Macaca fascicularis: one gene and its partners. The protein of the gene in region 3 binds, or shares a complex with, the protein of the main gene of each other region. Links are inferred from orthologs where the notes say so. Each region holds a gene or a part of one and is shown on either strand. Other genes may lie near its edges. The genes, in order: MAP3K5, DAB2IP, ARHGEF6, DCP1A and PAK1.

What was found.
Region 1: ARHGEF6 (region 3) and MAP3K5 share a complex: the UniProt entries of both Homo sapiens proteins name them as parts of the cytoplasmic complex. The link is inferred for Macaca fascicularis from reciprocal best matches to the Homo sapiens genes ARHGEF6 and MAP3K5.
Region 2: ARHGEF6 (region 3) and DAB2IP share a complex: the UniProt entries of both Homo sapiens proteins name them as parts of the cytoplasmic complex. The link is inferred for Macaca fascicularis from reciprocal best matches to the Homo sapiens genes ARHGEF6 and DAB2IP.
Region 4: ARHGEF6 (region 3) and DCP1A share a complex: the UniProt entries of both Homo sapiens proteins name them as parts of the cytoplasmic complex. The link is inferred for Macaca fascicularis from reciprocal best matches to the Homo sapiens genes ARHGEF6 and DCP1A.
Region 5: ARHGEF6 (region 3) and PAK1 share a complex: the UniProt entries of both Homo sapiens proteins name them as parts of the cytoplasmic complex. The link is inferred for Macaca fascicularis from reciprocal best matches to the Homo sapiens genes ARHGEF6 and PAK1.

Annotation. Positions count from the first base shown.
Region 1 is NC_088378.1:40,610,037-40,613,442, forward strand, and holds the end of MAP3K5 (mitogen-activated protein kinase kinase kinase 5), read right to left. Parts: intron 2,335-3,406; coding exon 2,258-2,334; intron 1,278-2,257; coding exon 1,217-1,277; 3' UTR 505-1,216; downstream 1-504. UniProt on the Homo sapiens protein: Serine/threonine kinase which acts as an essential component of the MAP kinase signal transduction pathway. Plays an important role in the cascades of cellular responses evoked by changes in the environment.
Region 2 is NC_088389.1:36,204,658-36,208,173, forward strand, and holds part of DAB2IP (disabled homolog 2-interacting protein), read right to left. Parts: intron 2,322-3,516; coding exon 1,433-2,321; intron 653-1,432; coding exon 500-652; intron 1-499. UniProt on the Homo sapiens protein: Functions as a scaffold protein implicated in the regulation of a large spectrum of both general and specialized signaling pathways.
Region 3 is NC_088395.1:142,926,498-142,930,732, forward strand, and holds the start of ARHGEF6 (rho guanine nucleotide exchange factor 6), read right to left. Parts: upstream 2,808-4,235; 5' UTR 2,335-2,807; coding exon 2,170-2,334; intron 940-2,169; coding exon 856-939; intron 1-855. UniProt on the Homo sapiens protein: Acts as a RAC1 guanine nucleotide exchange factor (GEF).
Region 4 is NC_088376.1:116,470,826-116,474,341, forward strand, and holds part of DCP1A (mRNA-decapping enzyme 1A), read right to left. Parts: intron 1,207-3,516; coding exon 1,079-1,206; intron 1-1,078. UniProt on the Homo sapiens protein: Necessary for the degradation of mRNAs, both in normal mRNA turnover and in nonsense-mediated mRNA decay. Removes the 7-methyl guanine cap structure from mRNA molecules, yielding a 5'-phosphorylated mRNA fragment and 7m-GDP.
Region 5 is NC_088388.1:76,242,185-76,245,700, forward strand, and holds part of PAK1 (serine/threonine-protein kinase PAK 1), read right to left. Parts: exon of another isoform or gene 2,883-3,516; coding exon of another isoform or gene 2,823-2,882; intron 1,201-2,822; coding exon 1,081-1,200; intron 1-1,080. UniProt on the Homo sapiens protein: Protein kinase involved in intracellular signaling pathways downstream of integrins and receptor-type kinases that plays an important role in cytoskeleton dynamics, in cell adhesion, migration, proliferation, apoptosis, mitosis, and in vesicle-mediated transport processes.

The DNA of each region.
Region 1 (3,406 bases), on a different chromosome or scaffold from region 3:
AAGATGGTCTTTGCAGACGCCTTAAGATACACAATAGTCATCCAAGATAACTTGGGGCCTTGAGAAAAATATACTTCCCTTTATTCTTTTTTTCCTCACCCTCTTTTTTTTTTTTTTTTTTTTTTTTTTGAGACAGGGTCTTACTCTGTTGCCCAAGCTAGAGTGAAATGGCACAATCATGGCTCACTGCAATCTCAACCTCCCGGGCTCAAGTGATCCTCCTGCCTCAGCCTCCCATGTAGCTAGGACCACAGGTGTGCACAACCACACCTAGCTGAATGTTTGAGTTTTTGTAGAGATGGGGTCTCACTTTGTTGCCCAGGCTTACCCTTTCTTAAACCTCCATTCCCCTGAGGAACAACCTGGATGTCAGTTGTCTGACTGCTTGAATAGAAGACAGATTTTACTAAATGTTATAGCTGGAGAAACGACTGGAAATTTAACACAGCAGACTATCTAGTTTGTCAATACAAAATAAGAATTCTTTAGAAGTTATCAAAACAGTATGTTGAGAGTCTTTTTAATTTTTAGAGTAAATATGACACAATGGATAGCTTTAGAACAAGCTAACGTTACTACGGTTCAAGCATGTGCAACTGGTACAGTTCAGTAGTACATAAACGACTCAAACAAATGTACGACAGGTCAGAAACTTAAGTTACAAAATATAGTCAATATTACAATTAACACAGAGAAGTAAAAACCATTGCTCTCAGATTCTGCACACTTAAAAAAACATAAACTTTATACAGTAATTGAAATTATGCATTTCTACTCAGATTATTAGAGCATATTACAAACACACAGAAGCCTAAAAAGTTATGGTCACATTTTGGTTTTGTTCCAGTGGTGCACAATCACATGAAATGTTACATCCGTTTTGTGTGAAATAAACATTTGGCTGAAGTGCAATAGCTGCTGCATTAAAAATATTTCCATAAAAATGCTTAGATTAAAATCTTCCTGAACGTTAGGGTTCTAATGTTCAGGATTATTTTAAGAGTCCTTATGAAGAGTCCTTAAAAATTATAGAAATAGATGTAGTTAGGAAATTTCAGTGTGTTTTGTCTGTTTTTTTTTTTTTTTAACGTGAGTAAACAAATACTGGATTTAAAGTGCAGCTCCTTTCTCCTCTCCCTTCGATTTTCCCACCCCCAAGAAGGTCAGATCTGTATTAATTTTTAGAATTTCCATTGAAGATTAAATTGAGCAACAGTCAAGTCTGTTTGTTTCGAAAGTCAATGATGGCCTTCCACAGTGTGCACAGCATCCCTCCCCTGTTGAAAGACACAAGAACATGGTGAAAAGAACATTTCATTTGAAACACTGCCCTTGAAATAGAAAAGTGACTTCTTAGCTTTCATCTGCTCTGGTCAGAAGAAGATCCCAAAGTCTGATCAGTTATTATGTATTCTTTTTGTATATATTTTCTCATCTTCCCTCCATTCCTTCTCTTTTCACTCCCACAAACTGCTGTGTCCCAAAACATCATTTCAGATTTTCAGCATTTTTGAAATTTGTCTTTATAATGGTGGGTATAATAGTTTTCTGCTTGGGCTGGGTGTGGTGGCTCACACCTGTAATCCCAGCACTTTGGGAGGCTGAGGCAGGCAGATCATGAGGTCAGGAGATTGAGACCACCCTGGCTAACACGGTGAAACCCTGTCTTTACTGAAAACACAAAAAAATTAGCTGGGCATGGTGGCGAGCACCTGTAGTCTCAGCTACTCGGGAGGCTGAGGCAGAAGAATGGCGTGAACTTGGGAAGCGGAGCTTGCAGTGAGCCAAGATCACGCCACTGCATTGCAGCCTGGGTGACAAAGCGAGACTCCATCTCGGAAAAAAAAAAAAAGTTCTATGCTTGGCCTTAATTAATAATAAATTATATCAGATTATACCAGGCTTTTGGAGGGCAAGTCAGCACCTCCTCCAAATATTTATTGAGTATAACACCATCATGAACTCAATTAAAGCATTTGTGTAAGGCAGCTTCAGAATATCTGCATGGACTTAGTCTGCATATTATTCAAAAAAATTCTTCCAGTTGATTTTCACTTACTAATATAGAAATATTGGTTATTAGAGCCCTCAAAAATAGAATGGTCCAACTAACTCAGTTTACTCAGAGCAGCTAAGAACTAGAGAGCTCTGTCCAGAACTGCAAAGCTAATTAGAGACCCAGCCTGGGCAGGTACTCAGACTTTCTTATATTAGCCCGGTACTCTTTCTATCGTGACAACAGAAAGAAAAGTGGTACCTTAGTCTCAAGCATTTTAAGTCATCACGTGTAACATAGTAGAGAACATCCAATAGTGTATAATCTTCAGCCAAAAACTGTAGAGAAAGTAGAATATGCACAAAAGTAAGATGTTTTATATAACTTTAATAAAGCACAAACTCTATTTATAATGTAAACCTTGACTATAATTAAAAATGAATCTAAAAATGAAATTACTAAAAACACAATCTTCTGTGATTATTAGGGGAAAGGCCTCCCTATTACTCAATAAATACAAATAAATGCATCCAGGCTGGGTGCAGTGGCTCACACCTATAACCCCAGCACTTTGGGAGGCTGAGGCAGGCGGATCATCTGAGGTCAGGAGTTCGAGACCAGCCTGGCCAAAGTGGTGAAACCCCATCTCTACTAAAAATACAAAAAATTAGCTGGGCGTGGTGGCATGTGCCTGTAATCCCAGCTACTTGGGAGGCTGAGGCAGGAGAATCACTTGAACTCAGGAGGCAGAGGTTGCAGTGGGCTGAGATTGAACAACTGTACTCCAGCCTGGGCGACAGAGTGAGACTCCATACAAAAAAAAAATACAAATGCATCCATATTAACTTCCAAATGCAAAAAGATTACAAGTGACACAGAACTTCTGAATGGTCTTCTAATGAACAGATGAGACTCACTTGTAATCACATCTGCTGTTCAAAAACAAATCTTGTATTTAGAAGTTCAATGCTATGTAGCTTTGTTTTTTCTCAAGTGGATAAAAAGTGTTCCTGGAAAGGTGTTGCCTATGCTTAATTTCTGAACTTACTTTTTCATGGTTAAGCAAAGGCACTTGACTGTAATTCACCATAAAAGCAGAATCTTAATTTGAACTGCACCTTTACATTTTTAAATTTTATTTTTTTTATATATATATAGAGAGACAAAGTCTCACTATATTGACCAGCCTCATCTCCAACACCTGGCATCAAGCAATCTGCCTATGCTTCCCAAAATGTTGGGATAACAGGCGGGAGCCACTGCACCTGTCCTGAAGCTTTGAAATCAAATAAGAAAGGGCAATTATTTAGTAGATTATCAATTACTATTCCGTAATTGGGATTTGAGCCTAAGTTAGAGGAATGTATATTCTGGAGTTGTTTAAATTTATTCAGCTGTAACTTGTTAAAT
Region 2 (3,516 bases), on a different chromosome or scaffold from region 3:
ACCAGAGTGGTGAAGAGCCAGGCCGTGGGCAGGCACAAGCCCCGGAGGCCAGGCTGGGGTGGCTCTCCCAGTCATCCTGGGGACCCATGCCTCTGCCTCCTCAGGTACTAGGCTCCCTCAGGGGGGCTCTATATGTCTCTTGGGCACCCTCAGCCCCTCAGCCCCTCAACCCCCAGGTCCTCAGGAAGCTCAGCTGCCTCAGTTGCCCCAGGCTAAGGAGCCTTCCCAGAGGTCCCAGGAGTCTATATCTAAGACAATTCCCTTGTGATTCCAATCTGTAGATGGGAAGCCTCAGGTCTAAGCTGCTAATCCATCCCTCTTGTTACTTTTCTTCCAGACCCTACTGACTGCTATCCTCACAGGGAACAGGGGCTCAGAGGGGACAAGCCCTTCACAAGGACACAAGCACCCACTGCTGGGGGACCTGGGGGAGAGACTCCTACCAGCTGCTCCAGGAGGCAGCCCCGCCCTGCCCCGAGCTGCCAGGGTCCAGCTTTACCTTTTCTGCTTGGCTGAGCTCGTCCTTACTCCTTAGCCTATCCCTGTGGGGGGGGTCTGGGCCCAGGCCCTCGTCTTCTAACAACTGCGCGTTCATGGTCAAGAGCCAAGCGGCTGTGCGGTCCAGGGCATTGGGGCTCACGGGTGAAGGGCCCTACAACGAAACACAGCTGTGAGGGGCTGGAGGGAGGAGGAGGGCAAGCAGGAAGGGCATTAGTGGCCCAGGTGAGCCACAAGGACAAGCAGCTCTGGGACATGGTGGGGAGGGAAGGGTCCTCCAGCTGACTGAGCGCCTACAGAGGCAGTCCCCACCCAGGAACACTGTCTCTCAGACGGTAGCCGAAGGCAAAGCCGATAGGTGCCAGGTGGCCTCCTGAGCAGCACCCTCTGCTGCCAAGGGGACAGAGAGTGACCCTGCCACTGGGGGCACCAGGGCAGGCTGAGCTGAGAGGAGGACAGGGCCAGGCTGGGCTGTCAGCCCAAGGCACCTCCACTCCAGACACCGCCTGCAGCCTTTGGGTGACAGGGCCATCCATGCTCCAGGTGGTTGTGCCTGGAGGTCTGTCCAGCCTGTGAAAACATTTTGGGAGGGGAGTGTGGGGCCAGAGTAGGGCAAGATGACTCCTACTTTGGGTGAGGGCTTCGACAGGCTTGGAACTGAAGATGAATGCACTCTTTCTCTCTGACCCCAGCCTGCCCCTAGGGGCACTGACAGAAAGGCCTGGAGTTCCCCAAGGCTACAGTGTCCCTGGTTCACAGGATTCAGGAAGAAGCCAGGGGGAGGGGGTGGTGGTGCATGTGGCAGGCTGGTGGGATGGGATGGCAGCTGGGTGAGGGAGGAGGTGAAATGACTGAGAGGAGGAGGATGGTATGGGGTATGACAGCCCAGCTGGGCCCAAGTGCCCAGCCCTGCCCTCTGACTAGTGGCACTGACCTGCTTGTGCACTGACCGTGGCTTCAGTTCTGGGCTGTCCCCCTTGGAGGAAGAGGACTGCTGCCTCAGGCGGGTACTGGGGCCTGCCCAATCAGGTGAGGCCGATGCCAGGGTTCCGCTTGAGGGTCTTGGGTACTGCAGGGTGCCCAGCAGGTTGGGGGGCGTCCGGCCGCGGGGGGCAGGAGGTGGCGGCGGGGGTGGGGGCGGAGGCTGGTCGATCCTCCTCTGGGGGCCAGCACTGTTCTGCCGTGGCACCGTGGGCTGCCCGCCTTTTTCAGTCAGTGACATCTGTCGCCGTGCCAGCTCACCGGGCCGCCGAGCCAGCTCCTCCGCGGCAGTGCTGAAACTTCCCAGCTTGGCAGCGGCCGCCAATTCCTCGCTGTTGCTGTGTGAGCTCAGGGAGCTGTGGCCCTCAGAGCCTGAGTCGCCAAGGCCGCGGGGTGACAGCGGCAGGCCAGCCGCCATCTGGTACACAGGGTTCTGGAAGGAGAGCGGTGCCAACAGCTGGGGCCGGCCTGGCGCGCCCTCGGAGGTGCCTGGTGTGGTTGGTGTCTGGCCTGCCCGCCGCACCGTGGCCAGCCCTGCCAGGCTCACTGGGGTTGCCCGGGCTGGCCACCCAGCCACCAGCTGAGCTGCAGGGGCCTGCCCATCTGTGGGGAGGACATCGGGGCCCGCTGGGGAGCCTGCCTCCCCATCCAGCGCACGGGCATCCTGGAGGTCCACCATGGAGAGGCTCTTGCCACCGTTGGCCATCTGAAGATCAGGCTCGTTGGCTTCCGAGTAACTCGAGCTGCGGGCAGGTGAGGGCTGGACCCCGGAGGACCTTGTGACAAAAAACAAGTCCTTGTTTTCGGGGGTTGGAGACGGTAACCGGGTGAAATCTATCAGACTGCAGGGAGACAAGCACACACAGGGAAAGAAGGGGAAAAGAAGAACTGTGAGTGCAGCCAAGGCGGGTCCAAACCGACAGCACCCACCAACCTGCCGGGGCCTGGCAGCCCAAGCCAGCGCTGGGGAGATGGATGCGCTCGGGTAACAGGAGTGGGAGAATCCGGGGACCAGAGGCTGAGGCGGCTGCTCCTGCACAGAACCTCTTCTTTAGGGGCCAGCACTGCACATTTCAGGCCGCGCTGCCTGGAAGACCCCTTCCCTGTTCAGCTGCATCTTGGGACAATGGGTACTGGGGCCTGGCTTGCTCTGGAAAACTCCTCCTTAGCTAAGCCCTAAGCCACAACTCAGTGGCTCTCTGCTATCCACGGATCCTGCATTGAGAACTCCAACTTCAGAGTCACTGGGTTCCCTCTGCCTCTTCCCTCTTGTTCCTAATCAGACTGGTAACTGAAGTGGGGGCCCGGTGAAACCTCCTCTTGCCCAGCCTCCTGCTGCCGCTCCCTTGTTTGACTGGCAGGCGGGGGCTGGAGTTCCTGGCAAAAACAAGGAATGAGAGCAGGCTCCATGGAGAGCATGACTCGGTGGGAGGGCTGCACTTGCCCTGGCCTCCTCCTCACTCTACGCTTTTCTCTGGCCTCTCCCTGGCCCCTCCCCAGAAGCTAGCTCCTTTGGAAGAAAGCATAACTGTGGTGGGGGCCGGGGGGGCTTTGGAGAGAAGAACGTGGGTGGGGGGAACTGAAGGCAGCAAGGACTTGGGGGGGTTGATATGGCTTGGAATGCGGAATGGGTTGGCTTAGCCTCAGATGGCAAGGAAGCGCCACTCCCTGAGATGGGCAGCAGCAGCCACTCGGGGCTGCAATGCTCATGGGCCTGGGAGAGCTGGCTAGAGCAGCAGATGAGCCAGGAAAGATGGAGAGCAGTGGGAACCTGGCTGCCCAGGCCACACGCCAGGTCCGTCTTTTCAGAACTCACGGGCCCGGCTGCCTCTCAGCCGCTCAAGGGCTGTCCACCGCACCCCCCACTTCAAACTCTTGGCCTGTGACTCTGCTTGGCTTCGCTTGGCACATTCACCGAACAGATCCAATGCAAGACTCAGCAGACCTGCATCTCTGGCCCCTCCTAGGCTCCCCTAACCCCAGGTTCTTGATCTCAGCAGGTTCTTGATCTCAGCACCCTCCCCTGCTTAAAAGCCT
Region 3 (4,235 bases):
TCACTGCAACCTCCGCCTCTCGGGTTCAAGCGATCATCCCACCTCAGCCTCCCGAGTAGCTGGGACTACAGGCACACGCCACCATGCCTGGCTAATTTTTGTATTTTTTGTAGAGTCACCATTTCACCATACTGTCCAGGCTGGTCTCGAACTCCTGGGCTATAGCAATCCTTCTGCCTTGGCCTAGGATTAAAGGCATGAGCCACCATGCCCAGCCTTATTTGATTCTTAAAGCAATCCCATGAGTTGGCTATTAGCATATCCATTTTACAGATAAAAATAATGAAGCACAGTGAAGTTAAGCAACTTGATGCACATGTGGAAGTATCAACTCCCTTTCAGCAACACTTCCTATACACACTGTAGGGATCCATATAATATAAAATAATGCAACAAAATTTACTACACAATTTCTACCTCAGAGCCAAGTTCTCTCAGCTTTTCAAGGCCTCTGTTCTAAAGTGTTAATGGGAAGGAGTAACAATGGCCTTTCCTCTTTTCTCAACTTGGGAGGATTACAGTGACCCTCTCCAACAGTCAGTGGCCTGCTTTTGGTTCCCCCTTAGTAGGGGAACACACCCACACAAGCTCTGTCACTGGAAGCCTGTTTACAGGGCTTGGATGCTGTATATAAAAGACATCATTGTTTGAGTTTTGATTTTGTTTTGTTTTGCTTGGAACTGGTTTCTGGAAAAGACAGACTAGCAATCCATTACTGGGGACCACCAGTCTGCTACCTCTGTTTAACTCAGTGGCCAATGACAGTGAAAATAAACCAAGTACTTTTACTACCAATCTTGATTAGCAGAGCAAAAAAAACAATAACAACAGGGAAGGCACCCGGGGTAGGCTTACTTCCACTTGGAGGGTTGCACATCCTTTCAGAAAGTCATTGATGTTGTTGATGCAGTCAGCTTCAGTTTGGGGATCTAGACAAAACTAGAGGAACACAGTGAAATGTCACTTGGAGATTGTCATCCCATGCCAAGCAAAGTATATTCATCATTTGCTGATAACTAGAGAAAGCAGGCTTCTTAAGGTATGGGGCAACACTGCTGTCAATCCAGGAAGAGAAATAACCACTGAAGGAAGTGATGCAAAAATCTAAACGGTCGATCTTTGTTTCAAATGTCACCAAACCTTTAGTGGCAAGTCATGTCTACTTACAAGCTTTCTCTCATGCCTTCTATTCCAGTGTGCTGATGGCAAATTAGGGAGACCAAGACAGTTTTTTTAGCTTAGTTCTTGCTTTCAAGAAAGGAAGCAATCCCTGGTACCTCTCTCTTTCCTCGCTTCCCCCTGATAATTTAATAAAATTATATTTCCCCTTGGCTGTTCTCTACATTTGATCCCATTTCTTTACATTTTATCACTATGTAATCACTCTTTCTCAAGTTTAAGAAACTATAAGTAAATTTATTTGCTCAATAAAAATACAAACTGGTCCATGCAGGCAAAAGTGATATACTCACAGTCCATGATGACCTTAAGAAAGTAAATGTAAAATTGTACCTTTAAGCTACTTAAAGTGCCTACTTAAGAAATTATCTATTCTTGTGATCATGGGTTTCCAGCTATTAAAAATCTTGAATTGTTTTAAAGAGAGTAAAGTTAGTTTCACTTTGAACGCACATTGCATTCGAAACATATATCTGGTTTCTATTGCTTTTACAAACTTTATGTGACATTTTGAATTATTACTCTTAGTTGCTATATAGTCTCTCCTTCAATGGATTTTTGTAAAACGAAATCTACACTGATTTTAGTCAAACTGCCAAAAAACACCACCAAGATCTGTTATAAATCATTCTATTTTTCCACAGACTCATAAGTACCCCAAGTTCAAAACATGTCCTCGGTACACAAGGAGATGTAACATGCATCTCCACGATAGAGCAAGCTTGTGATATGAGTGTTCTCCTTGTCCCCTATTGCCAGTAGTGTCACAGGTTTTCCCTATACTACAATTTGGGGGCCAATTACTAAAGAACAACATTTCATTTTCTTACATTTTCAAACTACAAAAACAGTAAGAAAAAATGTCTAACTCTTAGAAAAATATTAAAGTAGGAGACTCCCACGGCCTGGGAAATAGAAAAATCTCAAGAGTTATATGATTGCTACTCTCTGGTGATAAGCAATCCCAAAGAGACTACAAATTTCCCTTACCTTTTCCACAGAGCCGGGCATGAGTCTGTTGATCAGTTTGCACAGAACTACCCCATTTTTCAGCGAGGACTTTAAAAACTCCTCCGGATCACAGATGGTCTTTTTAGGGGAATCTAAAACTCCCAAAGATATAAGCCATGTCACGATTTGTTCTTCTGGATTCATTACTGAGGACAGTACACTCCAAACAGCACTCTGGGGCAGCTGCAAGGACTAAGCCACATCCGCGATTGCATCTGCTGTTGTCTTCCTTTTTATGAGTTCTCTTCGGGTGCTTGTAGAGCAAAGGTTTAAAGCAACTTTTCTCAAACAACAGCGGAACCCACTCAAAATACAGGATTTTAAAACCACAGAGATCACGGTCCAAGACGTGGAAACAGATAAGAATTAACCTAACAATCCTGGATAACACTGGTTTTTCCTTTTCAAAACCTGTAAAACAAACTCATTAGGATAAAAAAAGAAGAAGAAAAACACATGCACACACGCATACACACACACACGCACACAGAGTGCGAGAAGTTATAAGGGAAGAAAGTGAGAAGGATGCTGGGGAGGGAGGAGAGACAAGCAAGCAAGTGCTTTGGGAAACAGAGGTGAGCCAGCACTTCAGGGGACCTTGGAAATGAGACACTCATGGGCCAGTCTGGGAAAACACTGTCAATAAATAGTCTAGCCCCAGTGAAAATCTGGCTTCTGTTAGGAGGACGATGCCAACTGGCTCTTAGGTCAGACAGATCTGAGCCTCATGGGGAGATACGCTGGCACAACAGGGCTCAAAGAAGGTAGGCAGAAAATTCTTCCAAGAAATAACCGGATGTCCTCATACTATCTCCCAGAGATGGTGTGTCACGATGATTCCTTGCAAAACACGTTGAGTTGCATGGTGACAACGTGCCAAGCAAACGAAGATTGTGCCTGCTGCCAGCCATCACTGTGTATAAGCAGAAGCTAGAAGAATGGCATTTTACTTTGCAGCCAAAAAGCTATGTTTAGGGAAATAGGCTAAGGATAACATCTGACATCCTGTTTACTTGCATTCTTTAGCAATTCTTTTTCTGGACCTGGTTCCACTACATAATCCAGCTGCAGTACCCTAAGCAAAGGCTCAGACTCAGTCACATAAGTGGGTAAAATACATTTGAAAAAATAGAATGTTTGAGAACAAAAGAGCACTTGTCCTCTATCTACACTACAATGTGGAAGATTCATATTTCCCCAACAAAAAAACACTTTGCACTCAAAATACTGCTCTGAAAAAAAAAAAAAAAAAAAAAAAAAAAAAAGTCTATAACAAGAGATCTTCATCATTCTCAAACATTTTCAGAACCACTTGAAATAGGCATACTATTGGGAAATGTATGATAAGGCCAACTTTAATAGTATAACTCTATGTTGGCAAATGTGTGGCACTTACCATCATCACCTCTCCTCAAGCATGGGAGACATCAGATCATTTATAGCTCTTTCCTGCTAAGCCTCAGAATTCTTTTCAACACAGCTTCAGGCATCTACTACCAAAGAATCAGCTTAGATAACCCTACTAAACATTTTCAAAGCTGCCCTTTCTTGCTCTGTCAGGACACTTGTCACACTTCACTATTATCACTTGTTGATATGATGATCTGACTCCTCCACCAGAATGTAAGCTTCCTAAACTCGGGGTCTTGTTTGTTTTATTTAACACTGTGTTACCAGCAGACTGCCAGGTATACATGGTAGATGTTAAAAAATGTTGAGGCCGGGCGCGGTGGCTCAAGCCTGTAATCCCAGCACTTTGGGAGGCCGAGACAGGCGGATCACGAGGTCAGGAGATCGAGACCATCCTGGCTGACACGGTGAAACCCCGTCTCTACTAAAAAAAATACAAAAAGTTAGCCGGGCGAGGTGGCGGGCGCCTGTAGTCCCAGCTACTCGGGAGGCTGAGGCAGGAGAATGGCGTAAACCCGGGAGGCGGAGCTTGTAGTGAGCTGAGATCCGGCCAGTGCACTCCAGCCTGGGCGACAGAGCGAGACTCCGTCTCAAAAAAAAAAAAAATGTTGAATGAATGAATGAATAAATGAATG
Region 4 (3,516 bases), on a different chromosome or scaffold from region 3:
AACACCCATACCTTCAATATCCATACCAACACACTGGAATCAAGTACACTTTTTAGTACTGTAGTTTCTTGGAAGGGCCAATCTAGCTTTGCTGACTGCATCCAATTATTATTAGAGGCTGTAAAAATGCCTGAAAGAACCCTGGACTAAAAAGCAGAAGAGTTATAATCCTAACTCTCCAACAGAGTAATAGTTTTGCATCTCTGAGTCTTAGTTGACTTAACTGCCTCCCTATAGCACATAGGTTACAAACATTAAAGCACCATAGCTCTTGGCTCAGTGCTGGTAACCAGCAGACACTCAATTAAATAAACAGATAGAAAAACCCTACTTAGAAACATATTCAGACAAAATAAAGTAGAAAAAGTAATAAATATCTTTAAAAAAAACCCCACCACCACTATTCTGGGCAAAAATAATACTTTCTTTGTGGAAAGAATTATCTGTATCTGCTCCCATCCTGTGTGTCCCAAACTAAGTTCTGTTGCTCAGGGATGTGGGCAGCTGATAGTCCACAGCTGCAAAAAAACAAAGGCATAAACCTTATTTTAATAAACCAACAACATAAATGTAGTGCTAGTAAATGAAATAGTAAACAAAATTATATACAAAAGAATGTTTCTAGTTTCAGACCCCAGTATATTTATTTATTTTTTTGAGACAGAGTCTCACTCTGTTGCCCAGGCTGGAGTGCAATGGCGCGATCTCGGCTCGCTGCAACCTCTACCTGCCAGGTTCAAGTGATTACAGGTGCCCACCACCAAGTCCGGCTAATTTTTTTCTGTATTTTTAGTAGAGATGGGGTTTCATCATGTTGGCCTGGGCGGTCTCGAACTCCTGACCTCAGGTAATCTGCCCTCCTCGGTCTCCCAAAGTATTGGGATTACAGGCGTGAGCCACCACGTCTGGTCTCAGAGCCCAGTTTAAAACGTCTGATCTTTCTAACAGACTCATTTATAATCATAAAGTATAGGCCATATTTTGTTTTGTAATTTGAAACTTACTAAATAATGGATTGATAGAAACTAAAGTCACTCGATTTTAAATGTAATAACTATAATAAAACAGATATACTCACAGCTTGCATTTCTATACAGAAGAAATGGTTCATGGAGCTGAAATTCCAAATCTTTATTCACTGGTTCAACTAGATTGTGCATATTTAGTCGATTCACAATGGTAAAACCATGGTAAGGGGAAGCTGACCTTAGATTTAATAGAAGGAAAAAAAAATATGCAGTTACCATTTAATCTGTAGAAATGTTATCTACTATGTGCTTTATTTTCATTTCAGAAAAGAGTACGTTAGAACATACAATATTATCAAGCACTTACACCTGTAAACAAAACATTTAAGTCAGATCATATTCTTCCTCTGATGAGAAGTCTCCAAAGACAGTCTCTCAGAGTAAAGGTCAAAGTCCTTACTGAGGCCACCAAGGCCCCACCTGATGTATTCCCCCTCTAACTTCATTTCCTATGGCTCTTCCCCACCTCCTCCTCTCCAGCCACACTGGGCTCCTTGCCACTCTCTCTGCATGTGTGCTTCTACCTAAAGACCTCTTCCTGGATTACGGCCCCAGAAGCTGCACAGCTATCTCATCTCCTGCAAGCCTTTGTTCAGATGTCACCTTTTTCATGAGGCCTACTTGAACTACCCTTTTTAATGTTCCCAAGCTCAATACCTCTAACCTTTCTCTTTTATCCATACTACTTATTTTTAATATTTATTGTCCTGCCCCCACTAGGATGTAAGCCCCATGCAAATGGAGCTTTTGTCTTACTTTTTTCACACATACATCCCAATATAGACACACAGTTGCTGAATGAAATATCATTCCATTGGATTGGCTATAATGGCTGCCCATCATTACAATAATGGTTTTTCTTGCACCAAACAGATCTTTACATAGTGCTCCTGAGTTAGACAGAAAATGCCTTGAATCCTACAATAGGAAACATCCTTGGTTCCCGTATCAGAGGGATTCGGTATATGATCCCTTACTCTTCACATGTACCTAACATTTCATAGTTTTTCGTTTGTTTCTCTACGATATATATGGGGTGTTAACACTATTCTACAGACTAGAAGACAAGCTTTGAATGATTAAGGACTGTGCCTGAGGTCACACAAATAATGAGTTACAAATAATGTAATTCGGATTCAGTTTCAGGTTTTTTGACTCCAAATCCAAGCTTCTACTATACGAAGTAATCTCTGCAAAGTGATAGTCTGACATCTTGGTATACCTTTATCCAAGGTACACAAAATAGTCTCACATTTTCCAAACACAGTTTCTTGCGTCTCATTTAATTAGAATCAGTACCATATTAGACTCTGTGAATTGTATTAAATCCAGCCACCACTACACTAAATCTCCTACTTTCTATAATCAGTGCCTCTGTATGATAACAATAAAGCCAGTAAAGTACCTTTTCCAAATATCATAGAAACTAAGGTTCTAATAACAGAGTTTCTAGAGATTTATACTGCTAATGAAGAGTAATGAAGGGAGTGAGGGTAAAGATCCCTTCCTATTTATTTATCTGTTTATTTATTTTATGAGAGTCTCGCTCTGTCACCCAGGCTGGAGTGCAATGGTTTGACCTCGGCTCACTGTAAGCTCTACCTCCTGGGTTCACGCTATTCTCCTGCCTCAGCCTCCCGAGTAGCTGGGACTATAGGCACCCACCATCACGCCCAGCTGATTTTTTTGTATTTTTAGTAGAGATGGGGTTTCACCGTGTTAGCTAGGATGGTCTCTATCTCCTGACCTCGTGAACCACCTGCCTCGGCCTCCCAAAGTGCTGGGATTACAGGCGTGAGCCACTGCGTCTGGCCGATCCCTTTCTTTTTAAAAGAAGAAAGATGTATAGCAGCGAACAAACAAAGTGTCTAAGAAAGAAGAGCTTGGTGTACAAATATCAAAGAATTACACTTAAAAGAAGAAAAAAATGGAGTGCATTTAGATAAGATCTCAAGGCTTTGTATCAAAATTTGGAAGAGTATTTGACAAATTATTTTAAATTGGCATCAATGGAGAAAGGCAATCCTTAAAAAGCAACTCAATGCAAAAAAAAAGGGAAAAGACCAGATACCAGTAATAACTCCTGCTGACTCAAGCTTTAGAAAACAAGGGAAGGAACCTGTCCTTGTCAGAGTAAGACCTTAGAGGAATCCAGGAAAACAAGCACCCCATGACTATCATATACTGTCAGTTGTCTTTAGGCCCCAGAAGCTGCCTAACAAAACAGTTGCAATTTGCAAACCAATCTTAAAGATAATGAATTTTTGAATAAGTTAAAAATAAAAAATATGCCATTATGCATAATCCAAGCTTTCTAAAGAACTCTCAAACAAGACACTGTACAAAATCTAGAACTTCTAGGGGTTGGGAAAGAGGACAGAACCAGTCATAAAAGACAACCACCCATGCAGTAATAAAACAACAGAGGTAATGAAAAACATTATTTTACAGAGCTAGTCTATGTATTATCTTTTCCCCAAATATATAT
Region 5 (3,516 bases), on a different chromosome or scaffold from region 3:
ACTATGTTAAACACTAGAAATACATATATATGGATTTCCTCTACTTTTTGAGGTGTTCATGGTTTAGTGGGGAAAAAAATGTTTTAAATGAACATGCCTACAAATAAAAAAAAAACATATCAGTGTTAACAACTCTCCAATTTTGAAGCCCATTTTCCCTTAAGGTAACTTTGTGACCTACAGAGAAAATGATTCCACAGATTCTGTTTATAAGTTCTCATCTTAAAAGGTCATATAATTCCTTTGAATTTCCTCCACAGCATCTCCAATAGTCACTCAACCAATTTCTGTTCGAACACCTCCCTGAATGCCGTATTCCAGAGGTAGCCCTTTTTTATTTATTTATTTATTTATTTTCAAGATCACAGAAGTGCTAGATGATTCCTTCATTATGGACCTAAACAAAGAAACACTAGTAGAGTATCATCTGATGGCAGGTCAGTGCTCAGTGATGCCAAATTAAGTAAAAGGCACGGGGACTAGATTTTTCAAAGCAAGGGTAGAGGGACTATGGCTATTCTCAGATGCAGGAACTTCAAAGAAAGTTAAACAGAAATCATTGCCAACATCCGGCATCAAAATGCACTCCTGATGCCCAGCATATTAATAGCGCTAATGTATTTATAAATTCTCTTGGGTCTTTCAGTATTATCGATAATGCTCTAAGAGGCTCAATGCTGCATATTTAACAGAGAAGAAAAGATCTGTAGCAAGACAATTTGTTGCTTCCCTGGAGACTGGAATAATTTATGTTTGTCCTGCACTAAGTAGCATCAATCCTGTATATCTTCCTGTCCTATCTGTGGAGAACAGGCTAAGCAAACCAAGACTGGATTGGTATAAACATCAATTACATAGGACACTTTGGGACTATCTACAAACCGATGATAAATAAATACACCATTTTTTGTCTTTAATCATACAGAAAGTACCTTTAGTCAAGGTAGTTCAGTGATTTCACCAGCTCCAAAATCTAAGGACCCCTACCAGAATATTAAATTTCTAGGTCTTAGCACCAACTCCTCCCTCTCCCCACTTACTCTAATAAATCACAAAACTGTCCAGGTCCCAAAGACTCACAGATTTTGTGTGCTCTGGGCGTGGAGCAATCACTGGTGGTGGGGTAGCATCATCATCATCATCATCCTCATCTTCTGAAACTGGTGGCACTGCAGGAGTCTCAGACACAGCCTTCACATTCTGTGCAAAGAAGAAAAGCAAGATGCATCTGGTCCAGCTGCCATGGAACTTAACTATCAGGATCACCAAACCCCCCAGGGAGAAACCCCAACCTGATACCCCTTCTGAAATCCACATTAGCCTCCAAGCTCTCACCTCCATGTAGCTAGTCTCAGAAACTCAATCTGTTTCTCCCTCTTCTCTTAGCCATCATATCCACTCAATCCCTTGGAGCTTCCTTCTCCCACCCAAAGCCTAACTGTGAATGGGAAGCTAGCTTACAGCTTTTCTACCTGCCTCTCCCCCAACCCAACCCCTGAAGACAAGCTCACAGTACCTTCTTATTCTATGAATTTTGCTCTCCATACTGAATAGGAAATAAAGTATGAAATGTAGGGAAGGGATCAAAAGTTTCTAATTTTTCAAAATTCATCATTATAATTTCTTACTCTCTCCTGATATGGTAAATGGCAGTCTAAACAGGCTTTTGCCCTGTCCTTTTCCTCTCTTTGCAAAAATTTCCTGGACCCATTACGTCACCAGGGGTCCTCACCTCAACCTGAAGATAAAGAACATCAGCATCAGGATCATGTTGTCTAAAGAGAACAATGAATTTCTCCCCAGACTGGATACTATTTCCCTAAGCTTCCGCCCTACCCTGGAATGGAACTTATCACTAATTAGATCTGCTCACAATCTGTGACAACCTGATTTCCCCATGCAAACTGTAACAGAGCTGGGCCAAGAGTGGCAGGTTTTAGGGCAGGTCCAGGCAAAAATAGCATACCATTACTGTTTATTACACAGAATTAAGAGACAAAATGCCTCCAAAACATGAGATTTTTGATAGAGACCAAATGATTCTATCATTTGGTCAGCAAAGAACCAGAGAGGCAATGGGGATCTTTTAATATATACTGATATAATTCAATAGTTTCAGGTATTTTCAGAGCACCTACTTTGTGCTCAGTAAGACTGATACTGTTGACATAAATGTACAAAGATGAAAAAGATGGTCCATGTCCTAAAGTAGTGACCATCTGGTATAGGAGATAGACAGAGGATGAGAGCCCCTCCTGCCTGACACCTGGAGCCTCCTAAGAGGAAGGTCAAGAGTCAGAATAACGGGATAAATGGAAGAACTAAGGAATAATATACTAGAGCTACTGACTGTGGAAGACTGTCTTTTACCACATTTGACATACAAAAGTAGGAAAAACTGGCACTCTCATAGACTTTAACAGGGCCTCCAGCACAAAGCATAACTTAAAAACTGACAGTGCTGGGCATATATAAGCAGTTGTGACCACAGGCAATAAATCTGTCTTCTTGGTTTGAAGTTTAATCACCTGAGGAATGTGAAGGAAGAGGAGTGTTATAATTTGAGGGATGACCTTAAATCGTTTTCAGTTCCAAAACTCAAGAGAGGTTCTTTCCCTGTCAAAATATGTATTTCGATATTTTTCTGCTCTAATTTATTTTCTCCCCACTAGTCAACAAAATTTAACTAAAAACCTAATGTGGGAATAAAGTTGACTCAGCAAGGCTCTTCATCATCAGGTAGCCCTGGAGCTCCCCTGATGTATACTATAAACACTAGGTTTGTTTGCTTTATAAAACTGTAGAGAAGGGGATTTCATCACCTTCCTCAGTAAAAGATTCTGTCTTCCATAGGTGATAGCTTTGGGCAGTGATAATAACATCTGTCAGAGAGAGAAAGGTCTAGGTTATTACCTAGATTTTTACTTGTTAGCCCTGTGTCCTTGGGCAAGGGTCTAAGTTAAGTCTCACATTTTTAATATATAAAATAGGGATAATGACTACAGCTTTCTGCCTACCTCAGAGGGCCATTAAATGGATGAAATGAGGCAAAGTGAACATAAAATCACTGAAAATGGTAAAGAGCTAGAAAGATGTAAGGAATCAATTAAATTATCATTATGTCTAATAATCACAAATCTCTGTTTCAAACAAAAGCCACACATTCCACTATTCATCATCCATCTACCCATCTAGCCATCCATCCATCCATTCACTGTGTGCCAGGCTCCATTCTAGGCTCTGGGGCTAAATAAAGAATAAAACGGATAAAGCCTCTGGTTCTATAACTTACATTCTAGAAGAGAATAGAGTAAAAAACAATCACCAAAGTCTCTGCTCCACATAGGAGCAGAGATTGGTTGGGGGGGTGGGGAGACACTATTTTAGATACCATAGGCATGGGCAAGCCTCTCTAATGAGATGTCATATAACAGTGACCTGAATGAATTAAGGGAGCAAGCCATGGGGCTGAGAAAAGGATATTCCTGGCAGATGGAAGAAGTTAAAGACTCTGAG